Coturnix japonica: one gene and its partners. The protein of the gene in region 3 interacts with the protein of the main gene of each other region in a biochemical or structural test. Links are inferred from orthologs where the notes say so. Each region holds a gene or a part of one and is shown on either strand. Other genes may lie near its edges. The genes, in order: GDF2, BMP2, BMPR2 and GDF5.

Evidence for each region.
Region 1: the proteins of BMPR2 (region 3) and GDF2 form a complex in vitro, tested with the Homo sapiens proteins (2 studies listed by BioGRID). The link is inferred for Coturnix japonica from reciprocal best matches to the Homo sapiens genes BMPR2 and GDF2.
Region 2: the proteins of BMPR2 (region 3) and BMP2 form a complex in vitro, tested with the Homo sapiens proteins (4 studies listed by BioGRID and IntAct, with this or other methods). The link is inferred for Coturnix japonica from reciprocal best matches to the Homo sapiens genes BMPR2 and BMP2.
Region 4: the proteins of BMPR2 (region 3) and GDF5 form a complex in vitro, tested with the Homo sapiens proteins (2 studies listed by BioGRID and IntAct, with this or other methods). The link is inferred for Coturnix japonica from reciprocal best matches to the Homo sapiens genes BMPR2 and GDF5.

Annotation. Positions count from the first base shown.
Region 1 is NC_029521.1:15,467,851-15,475,033, forward strand, and holds part of GDF2 (growth/differentiation factor 2), read right to left. Parts: 5' UTR 4,657-7,183; coding exon 4,311-4,656; intron 2,656-4,310; coding exon 1,718-2,655; 3' UTR 1-1,717. UniProt on the Homo sapiens protein: Potent circulating inhibitor of angiogenesis. Signals through the type I activin receptor ACVRL1 but not other Alks. Signaling through SMAD1 in endothelial cells requires TGF-beta coreceptor endoglin/ENG.
Region 2 is NC_029518.1:13,149,476-13,157,778, forward strand, and holds BMP2 (bone morphogenetic protein 2), read right to left. Parts: upstream 5,604-8,303; 5' UTR 5,171-5,603; intron 4,511-5,170; 5' UTR 4,504-4,510; coding exon 4,170-4,503; intron 2,146-4,169; coding exon 1,301-2,145; 3' UTR 421-1,300; downstream 1-420. UniProt on the Homo sapiens protein: Growth factor of the TGF-beta superfamily that plays essential roles in many developmental processes, including cardiogenesis, neurogenesis, and osteogenesis. Induces cartilage and bone formation.
Region 3 is NC_029522.1:10,381,694-10,389,378, reverse strand, and holds part of BMPR2 (bone morphogenetic protein receptor type-2), read right to left. Parts: intron 6,761-7,685; coding exon 6,588-6,760; intron 5,514-6,587; coding exon 4,234-5,513; intron 2,844-4,233; coding exon of another isoform or gene 2,794-2,843; exon of another isoform or gene 2,763-2,793; intron 2,540-2,762; coding exon 2,289-2,539; 3' UTR 1-2,288. UniProt on the Homo sapiens protein: On ligand binding, forms a receptor complex consisting of two type II and two type I transmembrane serine/threonine kinases.
Region 4 is NC_029535.1:1,100,721-1,108,971, forward strand, and holds the start of GDF5 (growth/differentiation factor 5), read left to right. Parts: upstream 1-3,482; 5' UTR 3,483-4,816; coding exon 4,817-5,450; intron 5,451-6,978; coding exon 6,979-7,847; 3' UTR 7,848-8,251. Other genes in the region: centrosome-associated protein CEP250, read right to left, coding at 118-186, 1,772-1,873. UniProt on the Homo sapiens protein: Growth factor involved in bone and cartilage formation. During cartilage development regulates differentiation of chondrogenic tissue through two pathways.

The DNA of each region.
Region 1 (7,183 bases), on a different chromosome or scaffold from region 3:
AGAGGATGTCACATGAAACCTAAGAGGTTAATGACACTCAGCTATGGGTGGATAGAATTCTCATGGATCCAGACCTCAGATCTGATCCAATTGCAACCCTCTTCTAATGGAAGAGGCTGTAAATCAGCCACAGGATTCTGGTGAATCATGCTTTGTGCTCATGGGTTGTGATGTAACCAACAGTTCTTGAATTACAACAGCTCTGCTCACACTCACCTGCTGTGTATTCTGTATTAAGTTAACAATAGAAAATAAATTGCATATTAGATTTCAAGCTGAGCTGTTCATAGCAAATTAATTTGTCTTGCACACAAGCTGTCCTAATTTAAAACATCTGTATCCATTTAAATCATGTTGCTTCCATATATTAAGCTTCTTTTCATATTTTTGCTTCGTTAATTTTTAATATTTTGCATATATATGTAGTTTGCTGTGGATTTGAATCAAAAATGGTAGATTCTTTTTGGTGGAAGGTGGAATAGTAGAAATGGAGTGGAGTGTGTTGGCATTTCATGGCACTTTGAATTTGCACCTGAAACCAATGCAAAGCACTGTCTTATCTTGTACAGGCAAAACCTTCATTACAATCAAAGAAAGTTTTCCATAGTTGCAGGAAACATGGAGTTGTTTAGTGAAAATAGAAATAAAGATGGGAGAACTGTTGTATGGCAGTGAATTTCCCATAAAGTAGTGTAAGTGTCCCAGAACATAGAAAGGAGTTATCAATTGTTCCCAGACTTCTAAAGGGTGAAAGAATTTCATATGCAAAATAGTGTTTATCCTAAGAAAAGATAAAGAAATAGAGCCTGGAGTTAGACTCCGAAGAAATTTGTCAGGCCTCAAAAAATTGGCTTGTTTATTTCTTTTCACAAGTGCTGAGCACTGCCAACCCCCACAGCTGTCAGGGTACAGATCCTAAGACTGGATGTCATTTGACTGCATGTTCTTGCAAAGAAATACTAAGAATATGCAGTGGGTCAAAGTGGCTCCTTATCTTTGTGAGGAGATAAGGCCTGCTGCTCCTCCTAGGAAACAGTGTCTTAGAAGCGGAAGGCTGTACTTATCATTCAAGTATGTGCCATAAAAGGGTAAAAATAGGGACACTGAGGATAAGAAAGCTGAAACCAAGGCACCTGCTACCCACAGAAGGAAGCCTTGGAATCAAATGAGATGGAAAGTGTCATCTGTTTGGGAAATTAAAAAACACTTCACTTATATGAGTAAGTACTTTGCATTAAAATGACTTTAAATGTCTCTGAGATTACTGATGTGAGTAAAGATTTGCAGGATTTAGACTCACTGCTTTATCATGCAAACTAATTGCAATTCAGTTACTTCACAGAAGCTGGAAATAAGAACTGGCTGAGAGAGTTAAATTTCTAAGAGGCATAGAAACCTAGAGGACATCCTCAGTCCCAAAGGCTGCATGTGATCTGAAAAGAACTAGTTTAACAGAAAAATTCAAATAAGTTTTGTTTCTGTCACTCTAGCCAAATAATGCATAGTTCTTTCAATCTCACAACATTTTAATTAATATCATATAATGCAGGACATTTACACTGATGGACATTCTTTAAATGCCAGCTTTCCTTTAAAAGCAGCAACAACAACCAACCCCACACCATGCTCCAAACCTTGTTTGCAAGGATTTTCATTTGCATCACTAATGTACAGTTTCACAGACAGAAGTGTATTCTTCTTAGATATTCTGCATATACTACCTGCAGCCACATTCTGCCACTTTCATCCCTTCATAGTTATATATCAAAGTGGGTACACCAGCATCATCCTTATAAAGAATAGAGATTGAATCCAATTTAGTTGGAACACAACAGGCCTTAGAAGCTTTCTTAGGGTTTTGGAGATGCACTAGAGTCTGGACAATAGCATGTTTCGTTGGCGTAACATTATCTGTCAGAGGGAAGAAGCAACCTCCTTTACACTCAAAAGCCTCATAATCTTTGGGTGCAATGATCCAAGAATCCCAACCAATCTCTTTAAAGTTCACATGGAGTGAAGTTCTCCGACAGTGGTTTGCTCCAATGCTTCTCTTGCTTCTGGAGGAATGCTGATGGGGCCTAGCAATGGCTTTTTCCTCTTTCTGTTCTTCTTCAGATGAAGAGTTATTCTTTCCTAATTTGTTTAGCACATTTTCTTGTTCATGAACAATCATCTCCCGGAGCTCTGCTTTGGTCTCTTTTGTACCATTGCTGCGATCATTGGAGAACACTATTAAGAGGGGCAGATTCTTAGTGTCATGAGTAACACTAATATCCAGCTTCCCACAAGGGAAACCACCCAGAGCCTTACTCTCTATTACAACCTCTAGCTTGTTTTTAGTCTTCATCTTGTCTGCCTTAACCCATCTTTTCACAGCGCTGGACACTTCAAACATCTTCCAGCCACACTCCTGAATACTGTGGGAGACAAGAAAAGATTTGGTACCTTCCTTGTTTTCCCAATGGTCCCCGTCTAGAACATCATAAATGACCATGTTGCCTTCCGGTATGGAGGGAGACACAGCTTCCTCGTGACAGGAGATAAAGATTCTCAGTTCAGCTCTGGTGATTTCTTCATACCGTGGAATAGAGACGTTGAAGAACAAGATGTGTTTCTGAAATGGGTTTTCTTCTGGTGAAGTTAAAGAAACAACATCTACAATAGGAAATAAAAACTTATTGTTACAGTGCTCCTGACAGTCCAAATAACTTGCTTTTAAAAGGTGCGGGATGTGTTTTGTGAATAAAATATGACCACGGCTACCTAGCATTAAACAAACAATCAAAAAGAAACAGATACCATCTCCTGGCCAGGTTTCAAGGAGCAGGGAGTGAAAAGATAAAATGTAGTTCCTTGATGTTGGTAGCATTTTCACCAAGGCTGCATGCAGGTGAATGTCTGAAGCAGTGGAGGGGTAGCAGGAAGAGTCTTCCTAGAACAAGGTGCAGGTGGTGCTGTAGCAGGTACTCATCACTGGATGTTAAGTGTTAAGTTTAGCAATTTCCTGAAGAGATTTTACAGAAAGGATTCCTATAAAGAAAGGATTCCTATAAAAAACTTTTAGAATTCACCGCTCATAGTAGTGCAGTAGGATAAACTGCTCTCCTATTACAGAGAAGCATGGTATATATTTGTCTCTTTGAGAATTAATTCTGCTGGGGTTTTTGTTGTCTTCAAATAGCTTTGAAAGCAGTTTGTGTTATTGAGAGTTAGAGAACACAGAAAACATGTGAAAAACCTGAATCAAAGCTCAAGAGTCTGTTTAAATTAGGACTAGGTGATAAACAGTTCTTTGTGTTTAGGTATATTCCAGGCTTTTGTGAGCATTCATGGTGCTTTGGTGTTTTTTCTGCAAACGTGTAGAGCCAGCAACTCTGCCTTGGAAAGGGCAGATATTTTTGTGAGAGATCAGGTTGTTAGTGTTTTAAAGTCATCACTGAATGATATCTTTTTGGTCATCAGTTTAAGATAATTACTCAATTATCATTGTGTTTTAGGGCAATTCTAATTTGCTATTGTTGACCCATCTTCCCTCTAAAGCAGTCTGAGTGGAGAGTGGGGTGTGGGAACAAAAATCTAGTTCATACTGCTGAAGTTTCTTTCCATTTCAGGATTAAAGTCACTTATTTGGGAATCTGGAGATCCTCATAGTGTTGTTACCTGTATACAATCAATTTTTTTGTAAGAACAGATTCTTCCTGTCTCATTTCTATTCCAAAGACTGTACTTATAGCATTTTTCTTTTTTTTTAGTGTCTTGAGATGGAGCTTTCAACAATCTATTTATTGTTACACAGGTAGATCTGGACTTTTTTCAACTCAAGACAAGCCTGGCTACTACTTTCCATGTAAATCTTCCCATCTAAACCAGAATTTGGGGTGGGCACTTCTGGATCCTTGCTTGGATCGAGGCACAAATTTCTCAGTTGGCTATTGTGCTTAAGAATGACAGAAGCTTCCTAGAAAGAAGCGTCCTCTGTCATGAACGCCTGTGCTATAGGTGATCACATATTTGTTTTCTAACATTAAAAACAAAACAAAAAGCAGTCACAAATCTCTACCTGTAAACCCTGTGCTCAACATATTGTCTCAAATAGATAAAATTGTACAACAAAAATATCAGAAATTATTTAGTTATATTTTTTTAAAGATTGAAAGGAGCAAGGCCAATGTCCAAAATTTTAATCTATTTACTTTCTAAGTAGACTGCGGAAGTTAGGCAACCAGTTTCCTCAGAATTTCAAAAGCATCTGACTGCTGTTCATATATTTCTTTAAAAGTTCATGTCCACACACTTAGGACTTCTCCTACCTTCAGTGCTGAAGCTCCTCACAATGTTGGATGCAGGGATTGAGGACTTGTCCGCTGTATATCTGTTGTATAAATCAATCATGAACTGTGGTGGTTCTTCTTTGGTCTTCACTTGTGAGGGGACCCTTGATAAATTCAAGCTTCTTAGTAAATCTGTCTTCATATTCTCCAGGAAAGATTTAAAGTCAAAATGGGTCTCATCTTCCACTTCTCCAGGATCATGAAAGAATGCATCAGACTCTCCCATAACTGGTAACTTGTCCCAGTTTTCCAAAGGCTTGCCTCTTGTCAGACACGCAATGATATTGAAAACAGACAGTACAGCCAATACTCCAAAATAATGCATTTCTTATGTATTTACTTTCTGGCGGAGAGACGAGAGGACAAAGTATTTTAACTGATCAAAAATATTGTATCTTTACAGACAGAGGAAAGGAGATGGAAGGCAAACAGCTGGAATGCCCTTTGCAAATCACTTTCTTGTGTTCTTTTCACTGTCTACTTCAAACCCCAGCCTCTTGTCAGTTGTCAAGCAGATTGGTTGTACACTTGCCCTTATCTGAGTCATTGATGCCATGCTTCAGCTTCCGTTATCAAGCAAAGCTCTTAGTTAATGAAGATTCTATAAACATTTGACAAACACACATGGCTGGTGGGAAGGACACTGTATATTGTAAAGAATCCACATTTCACTTTAGGGTCATCGTTGCCTAATTACTCTCTTTTAGCACTTCCTTGCCAACTCAGGCAGAAGCTTTCTTAGGGACGTGGAAGATTACACAGTTTTCATCATGACTAGAAAACAGAAATCTAGAATGAAATTATTCTATTGGCTATTAGTAAATAACATCTCATAAATACCTTCCACGTTCCATTAGTATGCCATCAGAAAATTTACAGTAATTTGATGGAGAGCTGTGATTCTGCAAGACATGATCTCATGACAGTACAAACAACCTTAAAACTTCTTTCCGTTTATCAGCCAAGAGCTATTATTTGTACACACTGTAATATCTGTTTTGTGTCAAGTGCGCTTCATGCTGTTTGCAGGCTTGTCCTTTTTCAGTCTGATTCTTTTGGTAGATGGGACTTAATTCTTGTTTTTATAGCATCTTACATAATATATTTCTTAGATTCTTGTTGGTCAATACAATCCAAGAGCAACCAGTGACCTTGGAGTGGAAACAGAACCAACACTTCTGATGCTGCATGAAAAGTAAGGGTCTGATACAGTTATCTGTAAGAAGAATGGGACAAAAGTACAAGTCTGGTAGAATTTCTTATGATACAGAAGAAAATAAAGTGTGTATTTATAGGCGAAAATATCACCTGTTATTTGTCTTAATTAACCTGCTATGATTTAATTTAATGGTGTGTATATTTTGTCTGTACTGTTAACATATCATCTTTTTTTAAACACAGCTCAATCCATTCTTACATATGCCACAAATTCTGAACAGTATTATCAGCTCTTACTTTAAAAATAAAAAGTATATTTGACAATATTTTATTCTTTCTGGCCATTCTTTAGTTTGCCAGCAGTGCATGTGGTGTTTAAAGTGAGCTCAGTCTAGGTTGTCATGTGTTTGTTCAAGTGACAACTGGGAGGAAAGGTTCTGGTTAACTGTGTTCCTACATTGCAAAGTCAGAGAAGATTATTTAGAGTTGATTCTATTCTCCTGAGTTTGTAAAGGTTGTTATGTATTACTTAAGGCATTTGTATTTTCTACTTGTGTGCAGTGTTCAATTGTTTGTATTTGTTGTATAACATTTTAAGGGTCTCAGAAAAATGAAAAACTTTTTTTTTTATTTTATTTTTTTTTAGCACTTGTTCTAAAAGAGCATCACTCACACTTAAAACTCTTGGTGCTTCATTTATTGTTTCACTGTTCCTGGCTAACACCTTTTAGACATCAGTTCTACTCACTTTCCTGTTGGATTCAGAAGCCTCATAGCATTGGTAGTTTCTCTCCATCAAAGTACTTATTGTAATCAAGTTACTTCTCAGTTTGCTTTCTGATTAAAAAAAAAAAAAAAAAGTGTTGGTTTTTTTTAGTCACATTCTGGAGGATATTTTCTTTGACAGGTTCTGTTTCTCTTTTTGTGTCATTTCCAGAATTTCAGGATTTTTTATTTTTTTTTTTTGTTTTGTTTTGTTCTTTGAAAAGGTGAACATAGGAGCTATGTGTGGTTTTCTGGTGGCAGTCTTCCAGTGCCATATGCAGAAAAACAATCTCCTTTCCTGCTGGGGTTCTCTGCTCCACAGTGCATCTTTCTGTAGCTTTCATTAGCACTTTTTACATAACATTACCTTTGATGCATATATTATACTGCAGGTCCATGGCACCCACCAAATATATTTTAAAAGGTACATTTGTTCAAGGATGCAGTCTTCTGCTCAGTAGGACCAGCTTCTGTTCCTTGTGCCTAGGTAGGATACTCTGTATCTGCCTACCTTAAAGTAAGTCTTGATTGCATGGCTAGATCAAGTGGTCTATATAAATAACAGTCTCCTGAATGCTCTTGTGCAAATACTGTGGAGGTTGTTATATATAAAAGATTTCCAGTTCACATATAACAATGTTATGTATTGTCAGGCCAAGTGTCATCTTTGCAGAAACTTAATAATTAACAGTTTCATTTAGTGGCACTCCCATTTGTAAGCTTGCTCTTTGAGGTTTGGCCATGAGACAGTTGTTATTTCATGTGATGCATAAGTACAATAACCACGTTCAGTAGTTTCCATTAACTATACTACCTTGTGAAAATGAATTAAAACAGTCCACAGTATACAAAACAGTCTAATTATGCTTTTACCTCTGGCAAATAAGTTGTGATCTCAAAGAATTAAATGGAATATTGTAGTAAAAAGT
Region 2 (8,303 bases), on a different chromosome or scaffold from region 3:
CTTTACGCAATACATTTAGAAAGCTTTATGATGTAAGCACAGGTTGCTCCTGTGATGGCTGGACCAAGTGAACAGTGTTTTCTTACAGGCTGGATTTTTCAGAGAGAAACAGCAGAGTTCTGTCATTTGTTACCCAAAGGAGATCCAAACATCTTGGGAAAGGAAAGAAAAAGCTTTCAAACACAAAACCCCATGAAGGAAGAGAAGCTAATCTGTAAAACTGCAAAACCACCATCCAGGGTTAGATGGGGGGCTGCTCACGGTAACAACTTGCTGTAGGAAGCGTGAAACATTGACAGTTTCACTGTTACACTGCACAGAAGTGAGCTCCCAACTGAGGTTAGGGGCCAGTATGGATAAGATATTATTCCTCTTCACCATGCATAATCACAAAAAAAAAAAAAAAAAAAAAAAAAAGGATGACATTTGAGTTTTTATTATTTTATATTTGGCCAGGACTTTTAAAGGAAGGACTTTTAAAAGAAACATCAAACATTCGCTTTTCTGTAGGTCTAGAAAGGATTTTTTGGTCTTTTTCCCCCACCCCCACCTCCCCAGGGATTCCTATTGGCCCTCCTTATATTCACTCGGTCAGGAATAGTATTGCTACTAGATCAGCAACGTCTGCTTCTTATCCAAACGTTCCACCTAAGGAGGATGCCAGTTCTCATGGATTGGACAGCCCACCCTGCGGCATTCCTGAGCATTGTACAATATAATAATCTTGAAAGTCAGCAGAGTGGATTATCCACTTTCTTTCTGGACTTGAACTTGTGACCTTAACAGTAGCACTGCAGAAAGCAAATGCGCCATGCACTTTGCCATAGTAACCTTCCGCGTCTTCTCTTCAACTTAAATACACGCGATTGAAACAGCTACAATTTGGGAAAATTATGTACAAAACCCTATATTTTCTTTTTTTTTTCTTTTTTTTTTTTGTCATTTTCTCTTTTTTTGATTACACATAAATACAAATTAGCTATTCTTCTAAAAAGTGGTTATAATAGGAAATAAATACAAAATAAGAATCTGACCATTATACTTCATGTGCTGGGGGGGTTAAACCCATATAAAATGTACAACTAAAATACATTTAAAAATCTTTAAAGGAATATTTCTCTGATTAAAATATTTGTTTTCCCAACCTTTCCGTAGACATAAATATATTTTTCAAAATAATTGTGTTTTTTTTTCTTTTTCTTTCCATTTTCATTACATAAATAAAGTCTTCATTGGGAAATATTAAAGTGTCAGCTTTTCTCTATTTTTTCTTTTGCATTTGTCCGATATATTCGCCGTGTCAGCGGCACCCACAACCCTCCACAACCATATCTTGATAGTTCTTTAGCACAACTTTCTCATTCTCATCCAGGTAGAGCATTGAGATAGCGCTCAGTTCTGTCGGCACGCAGCAGGCCTTGGGGATTTTGGAATTCACTGAATTGACCAAAGTCTGAACAATGGCGTGGTTCGTTGAGTTGAGGTGGTCGGCCAGAGGGAAGGGACAGTCCCCGTGGCAGTAAAACGCCTGGTAGCCCGGGGGAGCCACGATCCAATCGTTCCAACCCACGTCGCTGAAATCCACATACAACGGATGCCTTTTGCAACTGTATTTGTGGCGTTTGCGCTGTTTGTGTTTCACTTGACGCTTTTCTCTTTTGTGAAGCGGGTGTCCCTTGCCATCGTGCCCAAACGTCACTAACAACGGCCTGAGCTGAGACCAGCTATCTTCATCCTGGTGTAAAGACCTGCTAATCCTAACGTGCCTCTTGGAGGCACTGTTCTCTTTGTCCAAGTGAACCACCTCCACTACAAACCCATGATTAGGTTGCCCGTGTGCAATCCACCTCAAAACGGCCGGCGTTACATCAAAACTTTCCCATTTACTTGCATTATGATGCACCAACCTGGTGTCCAAAAGTCTCGTGACGGGGTCCTTAGAGGTGGCTGTGGCTGGTTTTATAATTTCATAAATATTAATACGGTGATGGTAGCTGCTGTTGCTCTCAAAGGCTTCGTGCACCTGCTCCCGAAAGATCTGGAGTTCAGCTGAGGTGATAGACTCCTCATTAGGGATGGAAGTTAAATTAAAGAAGAAACGTCGTGCTGTTTTCCCACTTGTTTCTGGCAGTTCTTCCAAAACTTCTAATTTGATTAAACGAGAAGGGAAGGGGAGGGGGGCAGGGAGCAGAGGGAGAGAAAGAAAAAACAGTTAGGAACTGAGACAAGCAACCAAACCCCTCAGATACGTGCTGCTGGCATGCGACAAACAAGACCTGAAAGACTTCCAGGCAGAAAGCACAGCCTCCCTCATCCTTCTGTTTATTTACACAAGCATGTATAGCACAAAGTTAAGAACGCTTCATTCATTGTCATGCACTTTGATGGAATACCGGTGCTCTTTGCATTCCAGGTAGTCATTACCAGTGCCGAGAAACATGAAGCATCACGTTGGAATTCAAAGACATCAGTGAGAAAACTCGAGCACTACAGTTAGCAGAGGTCTGATGAGAATCATTGAAACCAACTGAGGATTTAAGGGCAATTGATGCATTTCTGCATTTTTCAAGAATATGGCTGGAGCACCTCTCTCTTAAGTTCCATTCTGAAATACAGTGCTCCACATCTTCAGTAACTTACTCAATCTTAATGTATAGATTTGCATATGTTAACTAGAGGCAGTGACCTCAACATCTGTAAGGCCACTTTACAAGCACACCCCAGTATGAAGTCCAAAGGACTGTGAGAACGGGTCTAGCTGCTAGAATGGGTGGATGCTAAAGGGATAAGGAAATGTTTTTAGCAACCAAACCAGCCCCTGAGCCCCGTGCCATCTTTCCCTTTCAGCCAACAGACACTGGAATGGAACTTCAGGGGGAGTACTATGTATCTAGGGCTGCTACACTGTAAGTTTCTGCTGCAGACACGGAAGAAATAGCGTTTGCCCACAATAATCCCTCTGAAATCCTGGGTTTTCTTTTTGCTACTCAGCATCCCGGGGATCCGTTCACTTTCTGAAGGGAAGCTGGCACTGACGTGAGCAGTTCTCAGCCCCGTGCCATTCCCTGCTGGCTCCAGCCCGACTTCCCGCATCAGGCAGGGCTCAGCTCTGCAGCGCTTCGGGACCAGCCCGGCGTTTGTAAATATGCAGATGTGCGAGCGCTCCCGGCACAGCCTCCTGCTCTCATGAAGTCACGAACCAACAGTGAGAACTCAATGGAAAAACGGAGTCACGTTGATTTTCGTCTCAAGTTTGTGAAAACCGGAGGACAGCCTTCCATGTCAAAGACTTTGTTGCAACACCACCGCTTCCAACGCTGCTCTGTTTGCCTACAAGTTACACTCCGTGCCCCTCGGCTCCTGTCCTGCTCAGCACCTCGCCTGCCACGTACGGGCTTAAAAGGAACGAGCCACGCGCTGCTGCTGTTTACTTCCCCGCTACAGAGAGAGTGACATTTCACCACTGATCTCACTTCCCACTAAACGGCACCGGGGCCACCTCCGTCCAGCAGAACCATTAAATCTAAGCGCGTTTCTTTTCTCAGCTGTTCCACCTGAAGAGCGCGGGGCGACCGCTTTTCCATTCCCTTTAAAGCAGAGCCGCCGTGTGCCAGCGCCAGAGACTATGGCCAGGGCAGGTTCCATCCCGGGATAAAGCTTCCTGCAGAGCGGGGCAGCGGCAAGCACCGACGGCTCTGCGGGACCACGCGGCTGCGATCTCGGCCGTGTGAGCCGCTCGCTGGGTACGGCCCCCGGACGGGCAGCCAGCAGCCGGAGCCCCAGCCCGGAGCGCTACCTCCACCCCGGAGCGCTACCTCCAGCCGGGCGGCACGGCCCCGAGCTTCGCGACTCCTCCGGCTCGACGGCGGCCGGGGGAAGGCCGCTCCGGCCCGCTTCGCCTATCTCCCACGGGGATTTAGATAAGGGATTAGGAACCTTCGCCGCGGCTCGGGGGAAGCTTTCCTTCGCGTTCCGCCTCGCCCAAAGAAAGCTCCGTTCGCGGCCGGCAGAGCGCGGCGAGAGCCTCACACCGGCGGCCCCGGAGCCCGCGGTGGGCTCTGGAAACGCAGCCGCGACCCCCTCCGAAGCTCGGAGCCCGCCCCGCCGCCCCTCCTCCGTCCCACCCTCGCACTCCTCCCGCTCCCCTCCGCCCGTCCCTCGGCCCCTACCTTCGTGGTGGAAGCTGCGCACGGTGTTGGCGCGGCTGGCGGCCCTCTCCAGCGGGTAGCCCAGCTGCTGGCCGGCGTGCAGACGGTAGAGGTCCAGCATGTAGGGGGGGATGACGACGTCCTTGCCGGGGCTGGGCCGCCGCTTCAGCCCAAACATGTGAAGCAGGCGCAGCTCGAACTCTCCCAGGAGGTCCTCGGGGCGCTGCGCGGCCGAGGCGGAGCGGCCCGGTTCGCTGAAGCGCCGCCGTCCCACCTCCGGCATGAGGCCGGCCGCGCCGCCCAGCAGCACCCGGCAGAGCAGCAGCGCCAGGAGGGAGCGGGTGGCGGCAACCATGGTCGACCTGCGCGGAGGAGGAGGCGATGGGAGGCGGTCAGCGCGGGCACCGCGCCGGGGGAGCGCGCCGCGAAGCGGGGGGCAGCCGGGGCCACTCCGCAGGTGGCTGCCGGCCCATGGCGAGCGGACAGCGGGACGGCGCGGCCGGGGGGGCCCCGTCGGGGCTCAGGTGCGCGGCGGCACCAAATCCCCGCGGCGGGGGATCAAAAGGAGCCGGGCGGGCCGGGCAGCGGGGGTGGGGGGCGAGGGGAAGGGGCGCGGGTGGCCGGAGAGCCGCCCTCGGCGGGCGCAGGTGCGTGCGGCCACGGCCTCCCGCAGAGGGAACGGGGGGCGGAGAGGGACGGGGCGGTGGGAGAGGGACCTCCCGGCCGTGCCCGGGGCAGGCTATTCCAGCCGCGGCTTCCCCGGTCACAGGGAGGAGGGCCCCGCTATCCCGGCGTGGAATGAAGAGGGAAAAAAAAAAAAAGAAAAAGATGAAAAAAAAAAAGTAAAAAAAAGGAAAAAAAAAATAAAAGCCGCTCGCGCTCGAGCAGGAGCCGCGGGACGCTCTTCTCCCCCGCCAAACTCGGCGCGGGGTTAAGGCTCGCTACCCGCTCTCCGTCCCGTCCCCCCGGTGTTGCACGGAGTCATCCTGCGGAGACGGCGATCGGCGGCCGCGGGGCCGTACCTGAGTGCGGCGGGGCTGGCGTCTGCGGGAGCGCGTGCTGCTCTCGGGCTGTGGTCCCCGCATCACTTGGAGTTACTCCGAACCGCGCTGCTGCTGCTCCTCTGCGGCTGCCGGGCGGAAAACGGGAGCTGCCCGCGGTGCGGAGCGCCTCGGGAACATGCCTCGGGCGGGCGGGCGGGAGGCAGGAGGAAAGTCCGCGCTTCTCCTTTCGCAAAGCGCCGGTCGCAAAGTCGGTGTTTCCTTTCCGTTCTCCTCTCGGTGCGCGCTGCCCGCCCGCGAGTGGGTGCTACGCGTTACGGAGCGGAACGGCGCCTTCCGCGAGCGTCCTGCGCATCACCCGCAGCGCACGGGCGGCTATTTACCGGGAATCCCGCAGCGACATGGAGATGGGAGCTGGGCTTCGCTTTGCTCCGCGCCTTTAAAAGAAAAAAAAAAAAAANAAAAAAAAAAAAAAAAAAAAAAGGAAAAACCCAACCGAGGAGGAGAACGAAATAAAAAGCTACATTACAAAAAATATCCACCAACAAAACCCCTCCGGAGGGTGTGAGCACCGGTGGGGACAGCGCTGCGAGCGCGCACCCGTCCCGCCCGCGCCGCACCATGCACGGGGGCGGCCGAACGCGGCCGCGGCTTTTTGTTGCGCTCCGATGTCACGACCCCGGAGGCTCGCGGGCCCGCGCCAATCACAGCCGCCCTGTGGGAGCGGGCCGCGGCCCCGCACGGCTTTTAAAGGAGACGCCGCCTCCCTCCGTCTCTCCCTCCCTCGCCGCTTCTCTCCCTCCTCCTCCTTCGCCCGTTCCCTGCCTCGCCCGGACGCACCGCGCCGGGCTCTGGCCAGTCTGTGTGTCCGTCCGTCCGCCCGCACGGGACCGTCCCGCCGCTCCCCGCACAGTGACCGAGCGCCGGGTCGCGCGATGGGACCGGACCCCGAGCCCCCGGCGTCGCTCCCGACTTGCCGAGCGGCTCCCGGCCCGCCCCGTCCCGTCCCGTCCCGCACCGTACCGCCGCCGTGCCCGGCCGCGGGTTGGGAGCCGCTCTCCCCGCTCAGCCGCCGTCGGGGCGCTCCGGGATCACCCGGGACGCTGCCCCGTGCCCCGGCCCCGGCCCGACCCGCGCGGCCGCTCGCGTTCCTGAGCCGTGGCTGCCCCCCAGTGGCGGCGGAGCGGCGCTCCCCGCCCGCTGCCCCGCTCCGCACCTGCCCGCTCCCCTGTGCCGCTCTGCGCCTCGACGCGGCTCCGCGCTCGGGGTCGGGGTTGGCCGCTACCCCGGCTTTCGTTCGCCTGTGTGGGACGCGGCCCCTCCGCAGGGGTCACAAACGCCCCTCAGGGACTTCATCTGCAAAGAAGCTACAGCCAAATGTAAAACACTGCGGATGAGAATCTAAAGCAATAACAACCTTGACACCTCCATTCCCAGCTCCTCCTTTGGGAGTGGCCTTCTCCCTCCATCTTGACTTAGGGCACGACGCAGCATCTGCACTGGGGCAGGTCCCTTCTCCTGCCGCCTTGTGAGCCGCAGCTGTGCCATGGGACAGTGCCCAGCAGGGACTAACCAGCACTGTGCACCCAGCTGCTCCCCACGCCCCCTCAGCTGACCCTCGTGTGAAGGCCCTCAAAAGTTCTGTAACTTTTCTGTTGCATTTCAGTACAAATAAAGTTTAGTTTTATGACTCCCTGCGAGTCCTCTTCACGACCAAGGTGAAAGCAGTGTGATGCTGTGCCCATTATGTAAATCAGCACTAAAATAACAATGGCAGTGTTGTTTACACATCACTGGCGTTAAATGAGAACTTCTAATTGCCATCCCAGTTCAGTCTGTCGTGGGTCATGCCAGGAAGAAGCCAGGTGGCAAAGCAGCACGTATGCAGAAGGGTCACCTCCCCCAGGTGTCCCACAGCAGCACTCCCCCACAGAGCTCCCCTTCACACAGAGCTGGTGCATCAGCTCCTCTCCTGACAGAGAAACCAGCACTGGTGCTGAAGAGATCTGATATGGACATTGGGTTGTAAGAAGCTGGACCGCACAGATGTGTCACCTTTGTGAAGCTTCATTTCCATACTCCTCAACTCTGTATGGTTGACTGGACTGATCCATTTGTATTTTCCTTTTCTGCACATCTACTCTCTTTTTTTTCTTCCTTTTCTTTTTCTCTTGCTTCACAGTGTTGTGGTTTGCTGTGGGCTTTATCTGAGCCAGTGAGCATTCAGCTAAGGGCACCTGCTTCTTGGGTTTCAGATCCAGGTGCTCCTCTGCAGGTGCCCAATTGCAGCTGGTAGATCTCAACTTTATGCACTGTTGGGTTTTCTTAGTGAAATAAAGCACCCACAGACAGATAGGTTTTACAACCCGGTAAGAACTGTTTTTCAAGCACGGGAAGGCAAGAAGAAAGTCTTCTTCCGCACAACTCTGTTCTTCCTACTACATCCAATTGTGTTTCTGTAGTGCCACCAGGTAGTGTCTTTCTTCTGTCCTGGTTTAACTGTGAGCACTGCCAACGTTGCAGCGGGCAGAAGCCTTCAGCTGGAAGACCTCAATGAGAAATGCAGCCGGGACCTCGAGCTGGGACTCACAGTCACTAACAAAACACTCCAGATCCTGGTCTAGTCGTTGGACAGGTCTGCAGCAGCACACATAGAGCTCTGTGCACACTGCTGGTCAACACTTCTACCACTGACTTCAGCAGACCTGCTAGACCAACACCAAGCACTTCTAAAATTCCCCTCTTAGGCCAATTTCCCTCAGACATAGTGAGCTTTTGACATGGTACACTAACAGTACTGAGGGTGATTCATGTATTTGGTGCGCTGCAGTGACTAAACCTCTTCAGAGAAGCCTATGCTGAAGCATGAAAAATCTACATGATGCAGCATCAAACGTGAGGGGGGTGGCTGCTGAAAACGAGTTAAGGTGTGTTAGTGATGTTGAGGCTTTGATAGAGATTAGCTGAAAGCTTTTCTGTTTCTCAGCTGGGCTCCCCATTGGCATCTGTGCGAATATGATGTGTGCTCATTCTTGAAAACACTTCATGCTGTTTTCTGAAGATGTGTTTGTCTTTTGGTAGTTTGTCTTTAACATCCATCGGTTGTCTGTGCTCTGCAGCCCGTCTCCTGTTCCGTGGATGGATTCTCACTCGA
Region 3 (7,685 bases):
AAGAGATGAAAAACGTGGCCAACACTATGAACAGAATGCCAAAAATTCTGATTGAGGTCTTGAAACCCAGCTGAGCAACTGGCAAGTTTTCAACATCTGGGATGCAAGATCGTAGCAGATGGGAAGCTGGGGAGTGCATTAAAAGTAAAACCAGTGAAAGGCCGTATTTTCTGATGAGGGAAAGTATAACTATGTATTTATACATCAGGATAATAGAACTGCACCTCAGAGTTATTATTTAAGCTGGTGCTTAAACAGCACAGGGAGCCCAAACTATACCTCATAACCTGTACTTCTACAACTACACTGAATGAAAAATTTGGATTTAGAGTCATCTCTTGGAGATACCTACAAAAATGTAAGAAACATTTAGTAAACATTAAAGAATAAATTCATAAAGCACAAGCAAGGGTTTGAGAAATAGCAAGAATCAGATGTGTCAAAGTATATATTATACTAGTTATGTCAGATGTATAAAACAGAGTTGGCAACTTTACCTCATGGGGAAAAAAACCCACAATAGCAAGGAAACAAACAAGCTTGAAAGCAGAGAGCATCTGGTTCTGACTGCCAGAAGAAGACAGGTTGGGAGAGGCAAGTGTCTGCTGCCAGTAGCCTACCATAGGAGTTTGGCAGGATGGCTGCATAGTATTTATTGTATTTTATTTTTTGAACATTACCAGTTTCCCAAGGTAAAATTGACCTCATTACCAAAGACTGACATGTGTTACACACACACAAATATATATATTTAATTTAAACAGTTTTTACTGAAGTGTTTTCCATCAGAGTCTCAGGTGGATGGATAATTCTCAAGTGAAAGGAAGGCCTGACCAGTAAGGAAATTAGTTTTCTTCCAGTAGACAGTAAAAATGATTACTCTACGATAAAGTAAGATGTATATAAGATGATGAGAAAAATAATCTCAACACATATTAGATTCACATTCACTGAAACTAAAATCAATGTGTGGAGTGTTACATACAAACTGAAAGAAGTATTTAACCAGAAAAAAGCCAGCCTTCCCCCCCAAACACTCATACCCATGAATTTTAAAAGCATGCAGTTGATTTTACCGAGATGAATGAAGAGCTTTGAAAACCTGAGGGGAAGGAGAGTTTCAGCTCAGCAACAGCAACCAGTCAGGATGCACCCACCCTGCGCAGGTCATCAGGCTGATTCTACTCAGACTGTCAGGACAGATTTGTGCCAAATAAGATTAATATCTTTTCCTCTTTGTTAACAAAATATGTTCGCAACCTACCTTCACTAGAGCTCTTAAGTATGACTGTTACTTAGATTTCTGTTTGAGTTGCATTTTTCAATGTACACTATTAGTGATCTAAGCAAGGTTTTACATAAATACAAAGGGTAGAACTGCACACAAAATAAAGTACAAAAATGGCTGACATTGTTTCCTTACATTTGTTCAACAACTGGTTACTCAGAACTTGACGGGCTGGCATCTACCACCATTAAGGAAACTCACTTCAGTTGAGAAGGGTCAAAGGAAGGGTACTGAACTCAATTTTTGTTCCTTTTTAAAAGCCCTTTCAAACTGGGGAAAGTTCATACGTTGTCACCTCAGAGCACGATGTGATACAGGCAGCAGCTTTGAGCTGGCTATGGTGTGCAAAGTTAATTGTCACAACTGACTGACTGCTCAACTGTCAGGGAAAACATAACAAAGACAAAAACAGGAACGTGGCATTTTTAGAAACACTTCTCAATAAAGCATACTGTGAACTATAGACTATTGCACATTTCAACATGACACAAGAAAAATGGAGGGGCAAAAGAGAATACACTTTGTAACATAGAAATATACAGACTAGCTTGTGCACAGAAATCAAAACATGGTTACAAGACACCACCGCAGTCAAACCTGTCTTATAGTCTGCTTGTGATCTTAGTGACCTTAAGAAACTGGTCCAAACTGATTATCAGCAATACCTTTTTTTGTTTTTTTTTTAAAAAAATATTTTGAGACCACATTTTTGATACACATATATATATTCCGTGGTCAAAACAGACAGACTTAACTTCAGCGATACTAAATAAAAGTGCAAAAACGTTCAAAAAAATAAATCAAAATAAAAAAATATGGAAGCATAAGCTAAAAATTTTCTGCATAGCTGAAATCTATTTAAAGCGAGTCCTTGATAGGGGTTGCTGACAGGAGGAGAAAGCAGTTTTTTAAAATGTCTTCTGTATGTTTGTTTCAAATAATGAAAAAACAAAACAAAACAAAACCAACAGAAAGGTCATTTGTCGGCTTTTAAAGTATTTCACAGGCAGTTCACTCCTGCGTCCTTAGATACCATTGTGGTGGCAGTGCCTCCTTCTGCAAGGTAAACGGCAGTGCTGGATTTGGAGTGCACTGCCCGGTCACCGCTGTTATTGTTGACCTCGCAGTGCAGCGGCTCAGTGGAGATGACCCATGTCGAAGGACGCCATCGCTTCAGTGAGTAAGGAGTTTTCACACGTTTCTTGATCTTTTCTCCTGAGCCCGATTTGCCATCCTGTGAGGAGTCACCTACTGAACAACAACAACAAAAAGTAGAAAAAAACACTATTACAGGAAAGAACAGACTGGACAGTCCAGGGTTGTTACTCATGCAGAATGGAACAAAAAGCAGAAAATCCTATTAAATTAAGCAACTGTATGGCAGAGAGGTGGCAGCAGATAGTGGCTGTCACTAAAACAAGGGGCAGATTCTGTTCTCTTTCAGAAATTACTTCAGTGAAGTAATTTGTGTTACCTTGAATGCACATTGGCATCAAACAGCAGAATCAGCATTTGATATTTGAGGGGCTTTTGCAATCATAGTATCTTACATTACCTGTAATGGAAGGTACAAAAAAAAAAAATGTAGCTACTACAGGATGGCAAAGGCTAAACATTTGATAGCAAAATTAAATCACAGATCCCCTGGTCCTAACTTGGCCTCGCAAAGCAGTTCTTTACATACAAAACCTCAGGCAAGAGCTCAGGCCTTTGCCAGGAGACAAATATTCTTTAGGATCCTAAATCAGGATTTGGGATGTTGCATTGCAAAACTGGAAAAAACACTTGCTTGTCAGCTTCAAATGTAACAAAAATTCAGCAGTAGAAATCTGATCTTAACCTTCAAATATTTTAATTTCTTCTTCATTTCAACTAAAGAAAGTTACTGCGTTAATCTTTTTTTTTTTTCTCTTCAATAAAATGTCAACTCAAGTTAACAAGTAAAGATGAAAATATAAGGTTTCCTACTTAAAAGGAAAGCTTAAACATTAAATTGCTGAATATTCAACTACATTTCTTGAAAGATCTGTCCTAGCTCATTTATAAACTTTTTCTTTCCAAGCATCCAATGCCTGGCACCACGGGTTAATTTGCTAGTATGACAGCCTCTACCTAAACACAGTCAGGTTTGCAAGTATCTTTTGACACTGACAATGTATTCTGGAGCATGTTAGCTAGGAAGTCTCTCCAACAGCCCACAGACTCCAAAGAAACTCATTCTATGTACTGAACTATAAATATAGACAGAGTTCTTACCATGATAAAGAAATTCTCATTGTAACCTCTTACGTTTTTAGGCTTAAAAATCTAAGGCAGTTTTTCTGAGGGCATCTACTAAAATCCATTCTCTAACTACTTTGCTTATTTTTTTTAATATGTACATGGTAAACTGACAAAGGATTGCTTTAACTGTTAACGCTCAGATAGTAAGCTAGAGAATGCCTGACTGCCCACATAGGCTGAACTAATACAATAATATCAGTCGCTTTAAAAGTTACGAAGTAATAAGTGTGTAATAATAATTTTAATCCATGCATCTTAGAGCCAGCTACTCTTATGAATGATGAAAAACAAGGAAAAGAAGGCACAGTATGTCCCTGAAGGAAGAAACAGGAGACATTTCAATAACCTTTGCCACTGCCTCGCAACAAATAAAAGTAGAAATGGCTCCTCTCAAAGTAGAGAGAATAGAAAGGGATGGATTTTTGCCATGTATTTGGAAAGAGGATAGTGACCTAAAGCACTCTGGAGCTGATGAAGACAGAACACAGGACTTTATTGAGAAGACTGAAATAGTTCTGATAGAAACTGAATTTATATGAGATTAATAGGCACACTTGGAGGAGTGAAAGGGGACACAGAAGTATTTTCAAGTAGATATACATAATTATTCAGCAAAAAAAAAATGCATCAGGGAAACTTGTTCAACTTCTGCTGGCACTTACACTGCATACTACTACTATCCAAACTATTTGTGGCAGATAGATCCAGCGAATTAGGCCTCTGTGCTCTTCTAGTCTGAGTCTGCCCAGGATTTCTGGCTACATTCTGGATACTGAGTGTAGCTGTGTCTTGCACTGGACATGGATTACTGTTATTGTTATTAACATTTGTTCGGCCATTATCAAGTTGTCGCTCTCTCCTGTCTACTAGGCGGTCCAGAACACCTTCATCATGGCCAACCTGCTGCTCCCGCCTCAACAACGGTTCATGCTCATCAGGGCTTGAATTAATATTCAATCGACTATCCTCTCCACTGAACTGGTTCTGAAGCATTTCCTGGGCCCTCTGTGCTACTGAACTGGCTGTTTGGCCAGATGGCACTGCCCCATTGGCATACTGGGTTGTGCCAGCATGAGAGTTTATGCCGTGGGTTCTACCAGCCACTCCATTCATGGTAACCGTCACCACATGAGGCTCCGCAGCATTGATAGTGTTCATCTTGGCAACGCCTGTTTCAACTTGCTTCAAGTTTGATTTGTGCTTGCCACCAAATTTTAACCGTGGCTCCTTTGTTGAGTTTTTGGTGTTTAGAGGAAGGCTAGTAGGCCTCTTCGGAAGGTTCTGTTGCTTGGGTAGAGGATACACCTGAGCAGATGGGACATCTGGAATCAAACATGCTTGACCATTGCTAGCTTGCGTGAAATCCTGTTGTCCTGTCACCTCTACTGCAAGTTTTATCAGTGGATAAAGCAAGCTGGAACTAGTGCTGCTGAGTGGATCTGGTCCACTAAACTGCTTGAGTGAATGTTCCATCAGATTTTCATCAGAACTTTCTTTCAGGTTCTTGTCTACTTCTTTTGGATCCAGTTTATTTGTCTCTAAATCCTCCTCTGTTAGTTGCAGACAAACTGGCGTGGGCCCACCCGGCTGCATGATGTTTGTAGTATGTAAGTTTGTTTCATCTGAATAAGGTATTTCAGATATTGTGGTCATGCCAGTGCTAGGAGTGAGGCCAGTTGTATTGGTGGTAGTAGTATTAGTGGACAAACTGGTGACGCTTGTCTCAGGACTAGGGATGCGAGCTTGTGCTTGTTGCCGCTCATAGTTAATGGAGTTTCTATTCTTTTCCCCTGAAGTCAGTGGTGTAGAGGACATTGAATGTTCAGACGAGATGTTCTTCACTATGCTGTCAGTGTGGTGGATTGAATCTTCAATGTAGGAGGAAGAAGAATAATCTGGGTACGGCCTTATTTTTGACACTCGTCTATGATGTGACAGGTTCCTTTAAGAAAAAAAATCAGTGATATTAAGATCATATATGTAAATATTGCTGTATATTATAAAGCCTTTAATTTAAGAGAACTGAATGTCTACTTATTTTTGTGCATAAACTAAGGACAGATACAATTAAAAAACTGAGATCCTCTTTGAAAAATCCTGGGAAGCAGATAATCATTTTACTAGGACAGCAGTTTTGTCACGAATTTTATTGACAGAAGTAAATCACATAACAGCAATTTTCTTCTATTTGTCCAATACTTGTATTTGTACAGTTCACTGCTAAGGTACTGGTCTAGTTGCAGAGAAGTGATGCTGAAGATGGGAAACAAGAGAACAAGGGAAACTATACTCAAGAGCATAGGATACAGAAAATGATGCTAGGGAAAGAGTCACAATCTTCTAAACCATGAAAAATGTATAATTTTAACAATTTAGGTGTTCCACGCTTTAAACAGAATTTTTTCATGACAAACCCTGCCAATGCTACCCTTCTCTCAAATCCAGATCTCTACTATGGTGTCTATTATGTTAGCACTAATGTCAGTTCTGCATCATTTGCAATCAGAGAAGGGATGTACCCATCACTTCTCTCACTGGGCCAGAATAACAATGACTTTAACAAGGGCTTTGTAGTTCTTAAACTGAATAGCTATAAATTCAAGTCTTGGTGATATCACGAACTCTTACTGTCAGAACTGATAGCTTATAGCAGAACATTTTAAACAGAAGTTCAATGCATCACTTAGAAAAGAGTCTTTAAACACAATTCATAGTCTTTTCAAGCTCGTTTGGATAGTTTGTCTAAACTCAGCTTAACAGGCCTCACTGTGATAAAAACAGTTGTTTACATACAACATGTCTGAATTCTGGCAATTGTAAGAATCCAATGCCATAAAAATGTTTATTTTGTGGATTCATGCAATGCAAAACTATCAGAATCATACACAAAATCCATATGTAGACTAGCTCCCATAACTCTTTTAAACACTATGTGAATGGTGTGCTCTAGCTTCCTTCCTGTAGTGAGCTAAGCACTGGACATTCATTGCCAACTAAAGTCCATTTTTTCTCTTACCGCTCATTTTGCATGGCAGTTGACATTGGATTGACTGTTGGACTAACTGATTTATTTCTCTCCCAAATCATCATAAGTTCTGCCATTCTCTCCTCAGCACACTGGGCAGTTAATCGAGCTTCAGCATCTTGATCCCAGCAGTCTTCGATTGTTTCTTTAAGTGACCTCACAGCCTGCCGGGAGACAGACAAACAAAAACACTTTTTCTTAAATTACTTTCCCTTTATATTGTGCTTCTAATTTACTGTCCTATGACAGTATTCTGCATGGATGAGAATAGTCACAAGTTGGTGATATAAGGAAACAGAAGACACACAACACAATTGCTCAGTGCTAGTTTATGCTAGTAACAACAGTGCTGCAGAACTAATATTATCATACATCATATGCAAAAAACTGGAAAGATAATTATTTAGAAAAAATTAGAGTTGTTCATGCAACCTTCAGCCTGCCCTTGTTGAGGTACACATGCTCGTTCTCCCTTCTTTATGAAAGTCACGTACAAAGGATTGATGGTGGCTCTGGAAATGCCATCGTTGGTGTCCTCGCAATTCAGCTAATGGTCCCTGCTTTACTGCCCTGCACTGTATGCAATTGACACAGCCTTGCCCAGTTCATCAGGCTCCTTCTGTCCACTAATGTAACATTCAAATACCACATTAGTATCAGTGATTCTGTCTGCACTATGGGAAGAGATTATTGCTGCCCTTATTTAACAGACAGAGAAATGGAAACAGACATGCTTCCCCGTGATCACACTGTGGGGTGAATGGAGCAGCCAGGATTAGAGCTCAAGACCATCAAATCATGCTGCCATATGGTCAAAGACCTGGAGAGGAGACAACTGAAATTACGAGCACTGAACAGTTCTACTCCTACAGCATCCTGAGCACAGAAAACAAGCAGACGTTTATGGGCCACGGCTGCCCATTGATGGGCCACCATTTGCCAGAATGTCTCACATCTCAGCTCAGCTTTAATCTCACCAGCACCAGTGACCGTGAACAGTCCCAGCTGGGCACTAAAGCATTCAGTAGGGCCTGCCGATTGTTTCTGTGCCAGAACTGCCTTGTTCGCTTCTGGCAGGAAAGTCAGGAG
Region 4 (8,251 bases), on a different chromosome or scaffold from region 3:
CTGGACAAAACACTGAAAGGCATAATAGCGAAGCACTTCTTTAAATACTCACAGCAGGAAAACAAGGTTTTCACTGCTCTGAGGAGCCCTTAATCTGAGTTAACAAATGCCACATACCTGCACACTCACCCCTCCTGCTTCAAGTCGCTGCTCCAGCTCACGACACCAGCTCCGACACTGCAGCAGCTGAGATGGATACAGAGTATTAGGATGAGGGAAATGAAGCTTCTGATAGACTCAGCTCCTCCTGCATCAGCTCTTCCCTAAGCCTTTACATACAGCTCCCAGTACTTTTCACAGCACTACTGACACAAAGAGAAGTCATTATCATATATGGAAGCTTCTCTTTATCTAATACTAAAGAAAGTGAGAAAGGGTTTAATGTTCTGCATAGTTCTAACTGCTCATCTTGAGACATGCAGAATGATGAGAGAGACAGATGCCATGCCAGGCCAACTACATCTGTCAGACTAAAGGTTACTCTGTTCAAACCTCAGCAATCCATGCTAAATCCTGAAAGAGACCCAACACCAAAATGAATGACAAATCCCTCTTAAATCATGTTTCATTACGAACTTGGAAGAGAAAACTTACCAATGGCTCAGTATGCCTCAGTAACAGTAAGCTTACTGTGAACCATAGAATTATTTGAGTTGGAAGGGATCTTTAAAGGTCATCTCATCAACCCCCCCTGCAATGAACAGGGACACCTACTGCTAGGTCAGGCTGCTCAGAGACCCAGCCAGCCTGACCTTGAATATTTTCAGGGAGGGGACACCCATCACATCTCTGGACAACCTGTGCCAGCATCTCACCACTCTAAAAAAGTTCTTCCTTACATCCAGTCTGAATCTCCCCCCTTTTAGTTTGAAACCATTTCCCTATATCCCATCACAACAAACCCTGCTGAAGAGTCTGTCCTCTTATCTTACAGAACGGTCTCCCCAGAGCTCCAGCTCTCAGCCTGTCCTTGTAGGGAGGTGTTTGTCCCTCAGTTCATTGTTGTGGCCCCCCTCTGGATGTGAACCAACAGGTCTATGTCTGTCCTGTGCTGAGGGCTCCACCTGTGGACGCAGTGCTCCAGGTGAGGTGTCACAGTGCAGCACAGAGGTGCAGGATTCCCTCCCACACCCCACTGTTTGGACACATCCAGGATACAGTTTCTTGCAACGCAGACAATTAAGATGCAAACAGCAAAACAAAAGGGAGGGGAAAGCTCTTGTATGTTGAGAATGGCTCAGCCGGAGGGACTCAGGGCAGCCAGGTCAGTGCACAGCTGATGGCTGGGACATACAGCAGCGCTTCGGGAGTACTAAAGTAAGTGGAAAATCAGCTGGCAGAGCCTGAACGGTAACGGGCGGGATTCTGCCGGGGCCTGCAGAAGGAAACGTGTCTTTGCCATCTCTGCTATTGCCGCCTGTGCTCCAGCACCTCACACGTCAAACCACGCAGCCGGTAACTCAGCCACACTCCGGTCTCTGAGCGCCCGAGCAGCTCCTCATTTACAGAAAGGCCGCACCGCCTCCTGCGCTCCAACGGCACAACTGCTGCCGCTTCGTCCCCGAACCGAACCTTCCAAAGGGCAGAAAGTTCCGCAGCCCCCATGACCGCCGTTATTTCCCCTCGATTCACTCAGGCCCCGCGCTGCCCGCACAGCTCCCCCCTTCCGGCCGCGCCCAGACGGGACGGGCCTGGTCGGGCGGCTCCCGAGGCCTGTGCTCCGTGCTCCGGGCACCGCGTTGTGCCGCGCCTTGTCCCGCCCTCCCCTCACCTTCTCCTGTAGCTCCCGCACCGACACCGCCGGCTCCTGCCGCGCCTGCCCCGCTCCGTGCCGCCGCCAGGCCTGGCCCCGCGCCGCCTCCCTGGCCGCCATGCCCCGCTCTCGGCCCCGCCCCGCCCGCTGAGCCCCGCGGCGATAGGACGGCGGGTGTGCGGCGGGAAGCGCGCCGTGCCCGACACAGGGGCTGCCACCGGGTACAGCGCTGTGTGTGCTGAGACTGAGTCGTGTACGGTGGAAGCTGAATGTGAGGGAGGTGAATTCAGCTATGGCGGATTAAACATCAGATGGGCAGATCCACAGGAGCGCAGAGGTCTGACAGCGCTCACATCGCAGCACCGTGTTGGTGACAGGCGGGAGCCCCAGGGGCCAAGCTCCAGGAATAGCAGTTTGGCCAGAAGAATCTGGTTGAAATCACACAGGGGACAGGAATAACGGGTGGTGCCTCCTGAGAGCTGAAGGAGACCTGGGGCTTTGCTCAGAGCAGCTCACAGTAGCTCTGTCCCCATTGGCCCACCAGGGAAGTTCCCGCAGAGCTGCTCAGCATCTCCAGCTTCACACTCCTCCTGCTCCCATGTCCTGGTTGTGAGACTGATTCACCCCAGTTTGGTTCATTCTTTTACTTGTGACTGGCAGTATCAGTTGGTGTTCAATAAAAATGGAAAGTTACATTCATCTCAGATGTGTAAATACTGGGTGAGCATTTGACCAATTGTGCTGTTAGTCTGATTTACCATGAGACAAGGCCTATGGAGTCACACTGTCTCACCTTCTGCCCTTTCCTGTCCATCTGCCCAATCGTTTCTGTATCTGTGAATCTCAACCATGTTTGATGGAACAGGAGAGATCTTAAAGATACAGAACTCTTACCGGTGTTGTGAAAACTGGAGTACCCCAAAAGTGACGCCTCCTAGATAGGTTTCCATGCAAACCACAACAGATACAACACATACAGTAACACTGACAGAGCCAAACAGAGTGTTTGGGTGCTGGCTTTTCTACATGGAGGAATGTGATTCCATCCCTTTGCTCCATGTGCGACTCCATGTCAGATGCCATCCTATCAGGCTCTCCCTCTGCTGCCATCTGCCATATAACAGCAGAAAGGAACAGCGTGTGGGTGGGAAGGTTCAGTTTCTACTGCCATTCCTCCAACACCTGCCTCTGTCATCATGGGCCAACAGCATACAGTAGGAGGCATCACTTTCAGAGCATCCCTCATAGAATAAGAGCATGAACTCAGCACTTGGCTGTTTCTGTGGGCAGAACCAACACAGCACACCTGTCTGCCTGCAGGAAGGTGGATAATGAGGGTGGGAGGAAGGGACAGCATGGCTGAGGGTTATGGGGACAGCACGAAGGAACTGTTGGGGAAGGGGCCTGTTGGAAGTAACTCGTGGAAAAGCTGCTTTGTTTTGATGGGAAACATCAAACTGACTGCAGAGAAATGGCAATTAGGCCAAAATTGAGAGGGTGGGGTTTTTGTTCTCCCTCATTTGTGACATCTGTGCGGTCACTAAGCTGTTCTGCCCTTTGGTTCCTCCACTGGAATATGGTAAAGCATTCTAAGCGTGTCATATGGAAAGGGCTGCAGGTTGTTATTTATGAAAGTAATTTCATGTCAGAGTGGAAAATGCCGCAGCACGTCCAATTCAAGCTAAAATCGAGGCTGTTGTATCTATCCCCTTTATTCTTGCTTCAGGAATAAGTGACTGGGAGGGGAGGGCTGGGCTCAGCACAGCGCTGGATGAGAGAAGGGTCCCATTAATCCCCGTTCACTCCAGCCCAGTGCCTCATTTCCCCAAGGTTCATTCAGAACAACAACAGCTCATTTTTTTGTACTGCATGAAAGACACTCTCGCTCCGTGCTCCCCGGAGTACAGCTGACAGCAGCAGATACCCTTCCCACGTCAGCAGCTCCGGTTCCCTCCTCCCATCCTTCCCCTGTCTGTGGGCAGGGAGCTCTCCTACATTCGGGTTCACAAAAGCTCCGTCCCGGCTGCGCCCCGGCTCAGAGCAGCCCGAGCCGTGCTGCTGGCAGGAGCGGGGCCGCCTGCAGGGAGCAGTGCCTGCACAGCCTTCTCCTGCAGCTGGGTTACGCGGGTTTGTTCAAAGCGTAGCAATAAAAACACCAACATGCGATGACTGCGGGCACGGCGGTGCTGCGTTATACCAAATTCATCGCCTGCCTCGTTAGCTGAGTCGCTGGAGGGCAAAGCGAAGCCGCAGCTCCAGCAATAAGGAGCAGGACGGGGTTACGCACCGAGGCTTTCATGTGCGCGTTCCCGTGGGCCGCAGGACGGGTCCCGGCTGTCCGTCTCGCAGTTTGTCCCATTTAAACGTGAAGTTGATGGAAGGCGAAAGGAGAGGTTGTGCCGCCGCTCCAAAACGCGTCCTCTGGAGCCCTGAGCCCGCGGAGCTGTTTCACATGAGGCAGGGAATGAGTCATGCTCATGAAAAGGGCAAAGAAGATTTTTTTTTAAAGAAATATATCGCAGTTAAATTAGTTTAGACAGCATGACATCAGAGAGTAATTAAATCGGTTTGTTGGAATTCCGTTTCCAATTCCTGAGCTCAGGTTTGTAAAAGATTTCTGAGCACCTGCAGGTCTCTGTGTGTGAAATATTTTCACTGGAAAGGATTCAAAACGTTAAAAAAAAAAAAAACAGCCCTTTTAACACAGAGGCAGCATTACGCCATTCTTCCTTCTCGGAAAAAAAACCCCTCCGATTTAAACAGGACTCCTTCAACTTTTCAGTCAGTTTTACAGAAGAAAACGAGGTGGTAAACTTTCTCTTTTCAAGAACGAGCCCTTTACAGCCACGAACTGAAGTCAGGGGAGAGCGCGTCTGAGAGCAGGAGCATTTCCACTATGGGACTGGATACGAGCACTGAACAACCAGATTTGCAATGTTTTAATCTCGATCGAAAACCACTTTTGCTGACTTTGGTTTTTAATTTCTTTCATGTTTTCTTCTGCCAAACTGGAGGAACCTTCCCTGATTTTTTCTTTAGCGGCATTCAGAGGAAGACCAGAGGATGAAAATCCTGCATTTTCTCACTTTACTGCTTTGGCATTTGACTTGGCTGTCTCTGGATCTAGTTCCTGGAGCACTGAGCAATTCTGAAGCAGGCCAGAGTAATCCGGGGTCTAAAACAGATTTGTTAAAAGCAGAAGGAAAGGAGAGGACTCCCTCAGCACGGGCAGGCACGCCACGGGCTGCGAACCATGGATTTAGCACCGGGACCTCGAAGGCAAGGACTAAAAGCAATGCTGCTCAGCCTGGAGCTCTGCTGGCCAAGAACGACGAATCACAGAGGGTTCTTTCAAGAGCAGCTGCCTCAGAGGCAAAGGTAGGACATCTCCCGAGCAGACCTTCTGGAGTAAGGACGGTGACTCCAAAGGTCCCAAATCTTAGCAGCAAGACGGCTTTGAAAAAACCCAGCACGAGCAGTGCTGATAGCAGCGCTTTCAAAACGAAAAAGACTAAAGAGCCTGTCACCCAAAGGGAAGCTAAGGAAGCTTTCAGACAGCCCCCTATAACGCCACATGAATACATGCTCTCTTTGTACAGGACTCTCTCAGACGCAGAAAGAAAAGGTGTTAATGGAAGTGTAAAACTGGAGGCTGGACTTGCCAATACAATAACCAGCTTTATAGACAAAGGACAAGGTAAGAGGGGAGCTCACGTGTGTGTGGACAGAGGGACATCTGAGCACGAGCATTACTAGAACATAACTGTATGTTGTTAAAGGCAGAAAGCTCTTTCTAATGAGAATGAAATTGTAGGTTTTGTCCTTATCTTGGCAGATTCCTCTAGAGGCAGAAATAGATGGTAGCATGGCAGCCAAGCAAAACATTAGAATATTTCAGGTGCATATTTCTGAAAATCCATTAGTCCTTGAGGGTTTAGTTGTTCAGAAACTTTCACGTTTTGATCTTATGCTATTTCAGTAGGAAGATCCTGGATACTGTTGCTTGATTTTATTGCTAAGTGTGTCTGAAAACACATTCTCTGCTGAGAAAGGGGCTGTTCTGCGGAAAAACACACGTTTCAGTGTTGGAGGTCACCCCAGTTTGTCCAAGGATGAGCTGGGAGGAACTACAATGTAGACCCAGGAGTCATTATAGAGTGGCGCTGGTGTACCTGTATGAGCTTGAATCTCATGCTTTCAGACACTACCAGCCTTCTAACCACAGAAGCTCACAGCTAAACATGGGCTAATGAGTGTAAATAACTTCTGGGACTCCCTAATTTGCGGTTCAGTGTTATGGTTCCAAATTTATTGGAAATTTGGCCTAGTGTCTGCTCTCACACAACACATAACCAAAGAAAGATGTTCACCTTGCCGTCCCAGTGGGAGGCTTATCTCCATGTTGCTTCTGGTGACGTTAATGAGAGCTTTGGTCATGGAATTAAGGAAGCAACACAGGCCACAGCTAATTACATAATAGTGATTGAAGACTCAGCCAGGACTGGGTTTGTTTGCTGTTTAATCAAGAATAGTTTGGCTTTCGGGATGGGATGGCACGCAGCTGAGCAGTGCTGTGTTCAGATCCTTGACTGACCACTGGAAGGCGCTGTTATTGAAACATGGATAAAATGTTGGTTTGGGCATATTCCTCATTAGTGCCGCTCGCAGGTTTAACCAGGCAAAGACAGAGTCAGGTTAAAGGGAGGTCTGTTGTTCTGCCCAGTATGGAAAAGTTGTGAACTCTGCGGAGCAGAGTTAATGAGGCAATTATCTTTGTGTTCCTGGGGGATGCTGGTTTTAAAGGACTAATGACTATTGTATTGTCTAAGGGTAATGTTGGAGCCAGCATGAGGCCTGGGCACCACTGAATACCCATTTCAGTAACGTAAGTGGTATGTAAGTGGTGAATAGGCCCTGTGAGCCCTCAGACCTTATAAATGACGGTTTTCCAATTGGCTAAGGGCTACTTTGAAGCTAGAAAATGCCCACTGGTGAAAGAACTGACATTTCTAAAGGGCAAGCTCAGGAACTCCTTTCCCAATGAGTCACTGAATTCTTCCAGGTCCCCGCTCAGAGCCCATCCCTCAGACAAAAATTGTCCTTTCTGTTTAGTGGGCTAACTGAGGTAAATGCTGGTCTTACGGGGAAACTGCAGGAACATTGTAGAGAACTGACAAAGCAGCATTGCTCTGTGCTTCATTTAAAAATGCGTGTGCTTTTTTTAGATGAGCGAGCGCCAACCATAAGGAAACAAAAATACATTTTTGACATCAGTGCATTAGAAAAAGACGGCCTGCTGGGAGCAGAGCTTCGGATACTGAGGAAAAAGCCTTCTGATGCTTGGAAGTCTCATTCTTCTGGAAAGACTTCCCAAGTGAAATTGTTTAGTTGCTCTACCAACAGACAAGCAGCGACGCTCCTGGACTCTCGTATTGTCAGCATCACAGATACACCAAAATGGGAAGTGTTTGACATCTGGAAGCTTTTTAGGAACTTTAAAAACTTGGTCAACTTGTGTTTCGAACTGGAGACTTTTGACAGGGGGAGAGCGGTTGATCTCAGGACTGTGGGATTTAACAGAACGGGAAGACAGGTCAACGAAAAGGCTCTCTTCTTGGTGTTTGGGAGGACAAAAAAAAGGGACTTGTTTTTCAATGAAATCAAAGCTAGATCCGGCCAAGATGACAAAACCGTGTATGAGTACTTGTTCAATCAGAGGCGGAAGAGAAGAGCTCCTCTAGCAACACGGCAAGGGAAGAGGCCCAGTAAGAACCTGAAGGCAAGGTGTAGCAGAAAAGCCCTCCATGTGAATTTTAAAGACATGGGCTGGGATGACTGGATAATAGCACCCTTAGAATACGAAGCATATCACTGTGAAGGTCTTTGTGAGTTCCCCCTCCGATCCCACCTGGAGCCCACCAATCATGCAGTTATCCAAACTTTAATGAACTCAATGGACCCCGAATCGACGCCTCCTACTTGCTGTGTTCCAACCAGGCTGAGTCCTATCAGCATTCTTTTCATTGACTCTGCAAACAATGTGGTCTACAAGCAGTATGAGGACATGGTGGTGGAGTCGTGTGGCTGCAGGTAGCAGAACAGTTGCTCATGTGAATATGCTATGAAAGATAATATGACGCACTGAACATAACCTCTCCTGAAACAAGGTTAACTTAATTTCTTACCTCTAGGGTATGTTTACAAGGATGTAGCACCAAATCCAGCCATTCTGTATGTTTTTCCACCATCTCTCCACTTTGGGCATATTTCAATTGCATTTGGACACTGTCACAGAGCCCAGTATAAAGCCACGTGTTGGCAACACAAGACTGGCTCTACCTAAAGTCTGCGACAGGGAAGATTTGACCTCCATGCCTCTAAATCACCTGCTTTTTACCCTAGAGGCAGTGTGTAAAAATGGTATTGGTGAGCTGCGACCTGTCTGATCCTTTGAACAACATTCTTGAGACTGAATCTATGTCTGAGTCCCATGTGCAT